2 linked regions of the Oryctolagus cuniculus genome follow. The protein of the gene in region 1 purifies or fractionates together with the protein of each later gene. This does not show direct contact. Links are inferred from orthologs where the notes say so. Each region holds a gene or a part of one and is shown on either strand. Other genes may lie near its edges. The genes, in order: POLB and LIG3.

Region 1 (3,909 bases):
CTATCCAACTCAGCAATCTGGTGATGGAGTATACCTCAGGAGCTCACTGACGGCATCCTGTCCATAATTTCAACGGGAAATACGGTTTTGTGTCAATGTTGACAGAAAGGTAAGTCAAGAGCATAAATATTGGGACAGTCTTTGGAACTTTGCATTTTCCTTCTGTTCTAGCACACACAGACCTTTAGGTTTGGAATTCAACTTCTTTATGAACATATAACGATGACGACAGTGGAAAGGACATATTTAAAGGTTAAGGAGTCGTCGGCCAAGGGCAGTGTATGGAGGGGATTACTTCAGAAGAGGCAAGTAGTGCCAGGTACCTGGCATTGTGAGGAAAAGCCTGAAAGGGAGTAAGAACGAGAACATGAAAGGCCTTTTGTGTGCTATGACGTATTTGGATTGTATCAAGGACAAAAGAACATGTCTACATATTTGCAAAATGGGGCAGTGGGGCATCACCTGTTTTACAGAGTTACCTCCCACTCAGACCACACCCCATAAGCAAACTGAATTACTGATGTGATCAGCATATGCCTTGGCACACTTTGCTTCCTTTGCCTAAATTGTTCTTCCTCTCACTTGTCCCCTGATGAACTCCTTCAAGGCTAAACACCTCCACTCTGAAGACTGCTGTGACCCACCCAGAATACAGGGCTGAATACCTCTGATTTCTGTATCATCAAGTGTGTGGACGACAGCACAGTTACATCACATCGGACGTCACAGGAAGTAGTAAGGAAAGCAATGAGCATGATCAGTTTTGAATTATGATAGGAATAGGAAGGGGAGAGCTGAGATAAAAGGACTATGGGACTAAAATCCTGGAGAAAAGCCCAATGAGACACATACGTGGAGTCACTGATGTAAGTTGTATTCAAAGCCAACAACAGAAGGATTGCCAGGGAAAGCGTGAGAGTGAAGAAAGAGGGCTCAGGGGCAGATCTCTGGGAACTATCAGCAATCAAGGCTGAGAGAGAAGAGATGAAGAGACTGTCCTCCTGGAAGCCACGGAAAAGACTTTCATGAACGAGCCAGCGGGGAATGCCGCTGAGAGCCCAACAAGGTGTTGGTGAGAGCATGTCCAGAGAACGGCAGGATGGCGACTACACTCTAACGGGATACGAAATGACTAAGGACTGTGAAGTCCAGAGACCGAATACTGATTATTCAACAAGACTGACGTTAACGCAAGCAAAGAGATAAGGCACTAGCTAGAAGGAAGTTAAGATTGTTTCAGTATTGCTTTTAAGAGCTGAGGGAAGGGCCGGAGCTGTGGCACAGCGGGTTAAAGCCCCGGCCTGCAGTGCCAGCATCCCATATGGGCGCCAAGCTCTAGTCCCGGCTGCTCCTCTTCCGATCCAGCTCTCTGCTATGGCCTGGGAAAGCAGTGGAAGATGGCCCAAGTCCTTGGGCCCCTGCACCCATGTGGGAGACCCGGAAGAAGCTCCTGACTTCTGGCATTGGATCAACACAGCTCCGGCCGTTGTGGCCATCTGGGGAGTGAACCAGTGGATGGAAGACCTCTCTCTCTGTCTCTGCCTCTCTCTGTAACTCTGTCTTTCAAAAAAATAAATCTTAAAAGAAAAAATAAAAGGAGCTGAGGGATGGGATGGGTATTGTGTCACAGCAGGATAAACATATGCTTGGGATGCCCACATCCTGTACTGGATCACTGGTTAGAGTCCTGGATGCTCCATTTCTGATCCAGCTTCCTGTTAATACACCCAGGAAGCAGTAGATGACAGCCAAAGTATTTGAGTCCCCACGACCCACACTGGAGACCAAGATGGAGTTTCTGGCTCCTGGCTTCAGCCTGGCCCTGACCTGTCATTTGTGTACCAGCAGATGCTAGACCTCTTTCTCTCTGTGGTAGGCTGCCTTCCAAATAAATAGAACTTAAAAAGGCAGAGAGCGGAGGGAGTTGGACATGTTTACAGGCTAAGGAGTGGAAGCAGGTGGATGAGGTGACAATGGCTGGGTCCATGTCGAGAGGGACGGGGAGAGAAGCCATGAAGGTAACAGGATCAGTCACGGACCAACCCGATGGAAAGATGTGCCTCTTTGAGCACATCCATTTCACAGCGGAGACCTGTCTCTCGTTACGGCTTACAAACACATCGCATTTCCAGTAATTCCCGTCTGATGACGGGACCAACAACAGGCTCCACTGGTTTTCACTCAGAACTGGGAACTTATCCGAAGGGAGCCCACGGAGCTCTGCCCAAATTCTTCCAGAAGTATTGTGTAAGGAACCACCCTCGCCTTGCCCGCCCCCGCCCCGCCAGCCCCTCGGCCCAGCGTACCGCCGCACTAAACAGGGGCGTCCCCGAGCGCATGCCGTCCCACCTGTAAGCATTGTACTTGTGGACAGCCTGGTTCACGTTCTTCTCAAAGTTAGCGAGTTCTGCAAAGGCAACAAGCAGCCCCGGTGAACGCGAGCGCCGAGCAATCGAGACCCGCGGGGGCTGCGCAGCCTCGACGGACGGCGAGCACCTGCAGCAGCCCCGCGCCTGACGACGCGCTGCAGGGGCCGCCCCCACCGCCCCCACCAGGCTGCCGGGCAGGAGCCGAGGGAGGGAAGGCACCGGGGCGGCAGGAGAGAAGGAAGCCGGCGGGCCCGGCCCGGTACGAACCCGTGAGCATGTCGGTGATTCCGCCGTTCAGGGTCTCCTGCGGCGCCTTCCGTTTGCTCATGGTGACCTGCACCCAAGGGCTCCAGGGTGCGCACAACCGGGGACCGGGCCCCTCTCCCCGCTGGAAGGACAGCCCGCGTCTCGCAAGGTGGACAGGAGGGACCCGGCCCCAGCGAGGCCGGCGCCAGCCGCCGAACAATGGCTGCCTCTGACAGGAGGCGCGGCGCGCGGCGCGCGGCGCGCGTGTGACGTCACGGCGGGCGGGGCCTCTCCGCCGCGGCTGAGGAGACGCTGAGGAGAGCTGGGGGCGCCCGGGGAGGCCGTGGGAAGACGGGCGCCTCAGAGCCCCATCCCGACGGCGTGCTTTCAGGAAGGCCGGCGGAGTTTTGGTTTTGCTTTTAAAGACGTATTTGTTTCTCCGAGAGGCAGAGTTACAGAGAGAGTGCAGAGAGAGCTTCCATCGCGGGTTCATCTCCCCAAATGGCCGTAAGGACCAGGCCGGAGCCAGGAGCCAGGAGCTTCATGTGGGGCCCCCACGTGGGTGCAGGGGCCCAGGGAGTTGGGTTATCCCAGCAGGCGCAGTAGCAGGCAGCTGGATCGGAAGTGCAACAGTCGGGACTCGAACCCTCGGCCACATGGGATGCTGGCAGCGCAAACAGCAGCTTTACCCGCTATGCGACAGTTCTGGCCTCTGTTCCGAACATTTCTTTGGAATTCTTTCCATCGAAGGGGAAAAGCAGAACTTTGGGTCTGACGTATATAAAACAGTGGCGGAAGATGGAGGACCAAGGACTCCCTACTCACGTATAGGAGGGGACTGGGGGCGTCAAAACCTTCATGGAGAAATGGAATGAAAAGATAGTGCCAGTTTTTGACGAACTTTTTGAAGCATCTGCCCATGTGCGCGACAGCAGTCACCAAATAGGCCACGTGGTGTGTATGTGAGGCAACTTAATGCCAGCGCTGTCTGTGGCAACAGTGTGTTCAGCACTGCAAGGCAGCCTTGTGCGGCACAGGGGTCTGGAAAGAAAGCGCGCCACTCTAGGAAGCTTTCCTTGCAAACATCAGGATATTTTATTTCTAATTCCCCTCTCTCTGTGGGAACAAAGTGATGGCAAGACCCTAAGAAAGGGAGGCAAGCCTTGATATAACCATGATGATCCACATCTGGGAAATACACAGTCCGCTTAAGAAATGGGAGTATGACATCAATATTTTATTTCACACACATCATGCCAGGCGATCGCTTTGCACAAAAATAAGATTAAAATCT
Region 2 (3,484 bases), on another chromosome or scaffold:
ACGGAGGAGACTCCGCAGCCCAGCCTTCGCTCCTTAACTGCTAGGGGGTGGGAAAGGACAAAGATACTAAAGGTATTTGATTTATAAAAAACACCAAACTTCTTTTTAAAGAAAACAAAAAGATGACAAAGCCAGCACCCAGATCTGAAAGATCTATTTAAGCCAGCAAGAGAAACTGACTGCACTCGGGGTACCCAAGTGCAGAAGAGACCATGAATATAGTCAGTGGGTTTGGAAGACGCACTGCTTGCAGGAGAAAGCCCATACCCCCACCCCCCTCCCGCGGCTCCTCTGTCTACTGCCTCCAGTCCTAGCAGGGAGCTACCAGCCTCCGTTTCCGGATGCATGCCCAAATCCACTCTGGGGAGACCAGCTGGGCCTCAGAATTCTTGTCCCTGCTACCCAGCACGTGTGTGGCTGAGGCCATGTCAAATTCCTGTACCAGGTCTCCGTTGAATGCCACAAAATAGCGTCTGAGGCGGCTGAAGTCTGGTGTGGAGGGTGGCAAGTAGAGCCGCACCCCAGTGAAGATGTCCAGCAGCACCTGCAAACGCACAGGGGTCAGGGTGGGGTTGAGCCTGCACTGGGCGCAGATGGGGCTTTACCCACCGAGTACAGGACAGCAAATGCAAGTTGGACACGGAGGGAGCTGAGTTTAGGACACTGGCAGAGTTTCCAAGAGAAAAGGCAAGGCATCACTTGGTGCCATCCTTCAGTCATTCCACGTGACATGCCATTCATCCCTGCCTAGAGGTAAAAGATGGGACCACGTCTCCAGGAGCCATCCAGTGGCTCTCGGACTCAGTGCCCACAGATGCCGTGATAGCTCCCAAAGATCAAGCAAGTTCCTCTGCACGACTACCCGGGCTGTGAGGGTCAGGACTCCTGTTTGTTACTGTGCCTGGGCTCCAGGGTTCTGGGCAGGGGAAGGATGGGAAAGGTTTCCCCCAGTCTGGGTTCAGGACCCAAGTGCTCGGAGTGTGTGCTTCGTTTGGGTGGAGGCAGGGCAGTGGGGAGCACAAATCACACCGTGGAGTGATCGCAGGTTTACTTCTCTATCTACTCTTTGGGCCACCAGCTCCCCAGGCTTGAGCCGGCACTGAACCTAGTTGTGGCCTCAGTGGGTGCTCAACTGATGTTGCCAAACCAAAGACTGACAACTGCGCACGGAGAAAGGCTCCTCAGCTGGAGGAGTCACCAAGCCAGTGCCTTCTCCCGGGCTCCGTGATGGCTGCACCTGCTCCCGTCCTCGCCACAAACTCACACCACTACACTCCCATGCCCAGACTGGGCTTGCTCCCTTTTATTGGACCTTGGGACCAGCAGCTGTGGGCCTTTGCAGCCTCTCCTGGCTAGGCCGGGCTCTATCTCCTGCCTGCTGGCACAGCTCTCCTTCCTCTCTGCTGTCTGGCTGGCCGCCTCTGCCTCTGCAAGGCAACAAGAGGGTACAGGGTGCAGCAGCAGCAGCACTGCTGGCCCTGCCCATTCCCGAGAAGCAGTTGTAGGAGGGCAAGGGGTTTAGCCAGTGTTTTTCAAACACCCTTGCTCAGTTTCAGAGTTCACGTCCAGGCTGGGAACACTACCCTGGACCCAGCTGGCCCGCCTGGGGTTGCTATGTCTGTTCTTACCTTTGCTTGGCACGGGGGCTCATCAGTAGCTTTCCGCTTCTCCCCTACTTTCACCGGGGAAGACTTCCTGGCTAGCTTCTCCTCCAGTTTCACAGGGGAATGCTTTGTGCTCAGCTTGTTGCCTGCAGGACAGAGTCTGGGATAAGAACTACGAGGATAGGGACTGTTGATAATGGTCTCTGGGACAGCAAAGGGAAGGGCCAGACCCTTCTGCTGCTAGGAATGTAGGAGAGGGGGAGAGAATATCAGCTAAGCCCTTGAGCTTCAAAGGGGCTTAGCCCCTGCTCAGATTGGTTCCCCCAGGAAGGCATCTTTCAAATTTCCCAAGCAGATGGAGTGCCCAGCAGGACCGCTTCTGGCCCACGGCTGGACACAACAGCAGGAATGCAGTCAAGGTCAGCTTTATGGACACAGAGAATCACATGACCTCAAAGCTGGACCCTGAGGCCAGGCCCGGGCCCTTCAGTCTCCGCCTCACAGCACCCTCTCCTGCTTACCGCCTTTGCCGTTGGCATTATTCTGCTTCCCTTCAGCCTTCCTGGCACTCGCAGAGGGCTTGCTGGGGGCTTTGCGGGACACAGCAGGTCCGGAGGCACCCTCATTCTCACCACTGCTGCCCCCTGTAGAGGAGCTCCCCTCATCTCCAGCCACTACGGTGAAGTCTGCTTTCTCCTTGGACAGCTGATACAGTTCCTGAGGAGTGCAGGAGAATGACAAGGGTTTCACTCCCTCCCCAGACACAGGCCTCAAGTGGTGGGTGTGGTGGCGTAGGCACTGGTGGCTGGGAAGAGGAGCTGGCTTCCCTGGTTCTTAGTGTGGCCCTGTAACTGAGTGCTCAGGATGCCCACCACTGGTATCTGTGCACCAGTTCCTAATCAACACAGCAGGGACCCTGTGGAGAATGCCAGGCTGGTCACTACTGGGAGCTGTTCCTGGCCTGGTGCCAGCTGGGTGTCCCTGTCTTCCCACTGTCTCCCTGAAAAGGGGGAAGGAGATGAGAGGGTGGGTGAACAGGGCAGATGCCCACGATGGGACAGTGGGGTGGGGACACCCACGGGGCCCAGTGCTGGCACCTTGAGTTGTGGGAGGTTAGTGGCAGATTTCCAGTCCTTATCGTCCCGGATTCGTGTGCAGCGAGGGAATCGGATGGAGATCCCGTCAGCTGTGTGAGCTTCAGACTTGGAGAATTCAGCCCCTGTGATCTCCCACACAGCAGCTTTCTGTCAGGAGCAAGGCAGACAGGTGGACACTGGTCAGGAGGAAACGTCTCCCATCCAGCTAGAAGCAATACAGAACAGTTAAAACCCACCACGTCCGGCTAAGAGCTGGCAGACTGGGCTTTTAGGAAGCCTTGTCTTCTCGTGAGCCAAGTGCTTCTAGAACAGAGTGGTGGGTACTGGTATTCTTCCTCCCTGTTGAAGATGACTCCTCAGGACCCCACCCTGCCGGGTACTGGCTAAACTCTCTAGACCCCAGCCTAGGTGGACTTGCATTATGGCTGAGATGGCTCCTCTGTGGCACCAGAGCACTTGCCATTTGATTTTTGCGGGCAGGACGATACCTTTGGGTCTGGAACAATGAAGTCAGGATAGTAGATCTTGTTGATTTTCAGCCAGCTGGGTATTTTGCTGGGATCCTGGAGGAGAAAAGATGTTATTCTGGGCTGTCAAGCTTCAAGCCTCTCTAGGTAATGGGATTATGAGAAGACTGGTCCTCCCTGTCCCGAGGTATGTGGCCCAGAGGGCCCACAGGCCAATTTCCACAAGCATCGCACTCTGGTTTTAGGCCTAACCTGCCCCCAAGGCCAATCAGTGTTTTCCTTTGTCGGGGGAGAGAGAGAAACAACGCGTGCTCTG

Evidence for each region.
Region 2: the proteins of POLB (region 1) and LIG3 purify together in Homo sapiens (affinity purification with mass spectrometry; 3 studies listed by BioGRID and IntAct, counting the BioPlex papers as one, with this or other methods). This does not show direct contact. The link is inferred for Oryctolagus cuniculus from reciprocal best matches to the Homo sapiens genes POLB and LIG3.

The regions. Positions count from the first base shown.
Region 1 is NC_091433.1:92,531,228-92,535,136, reverse strand, and holds the start of POLB (DNA polymerase beta), read right to left. Parts: upstream 2,890-3,909; 5' UTR 2,698-2,889; coding exon 2,637-2,697; intron 2,408-2,636; coding exon 2,350-2,407; coding exon of another isoform or gene 2,307-2,349; intron 1-2,306.
Region 2 is NC_091448.1:39,277,730-39,281,213, forward strand, and holds part of LIG3 (DNA ligase 3), read right to left. Parts: intron 3,265-3,484; coding exon 3,190-3,264; intron 2,849-3,189; coding exon 2,702-2,848; intron 2,322-2,701; coding exon 2,126-2,321; intron 1,751-2,125; coding exon 1,629-1,750; intron 1,428-1,628; coding exon of another isoform or gene 1,365-1,427; exon of another isoform or gene 545-1,364; coding exon 311-544; 3' UTR 1-310. UniProt on the Homo sapiens protein: Isoform 3 functions as a heterodimer with DNA-repair protein XRCC1 in the nucleus and can correct defective DNA strand-break repair and sister chromatid exchange following treatment with ionizing radiation and alkylating agents.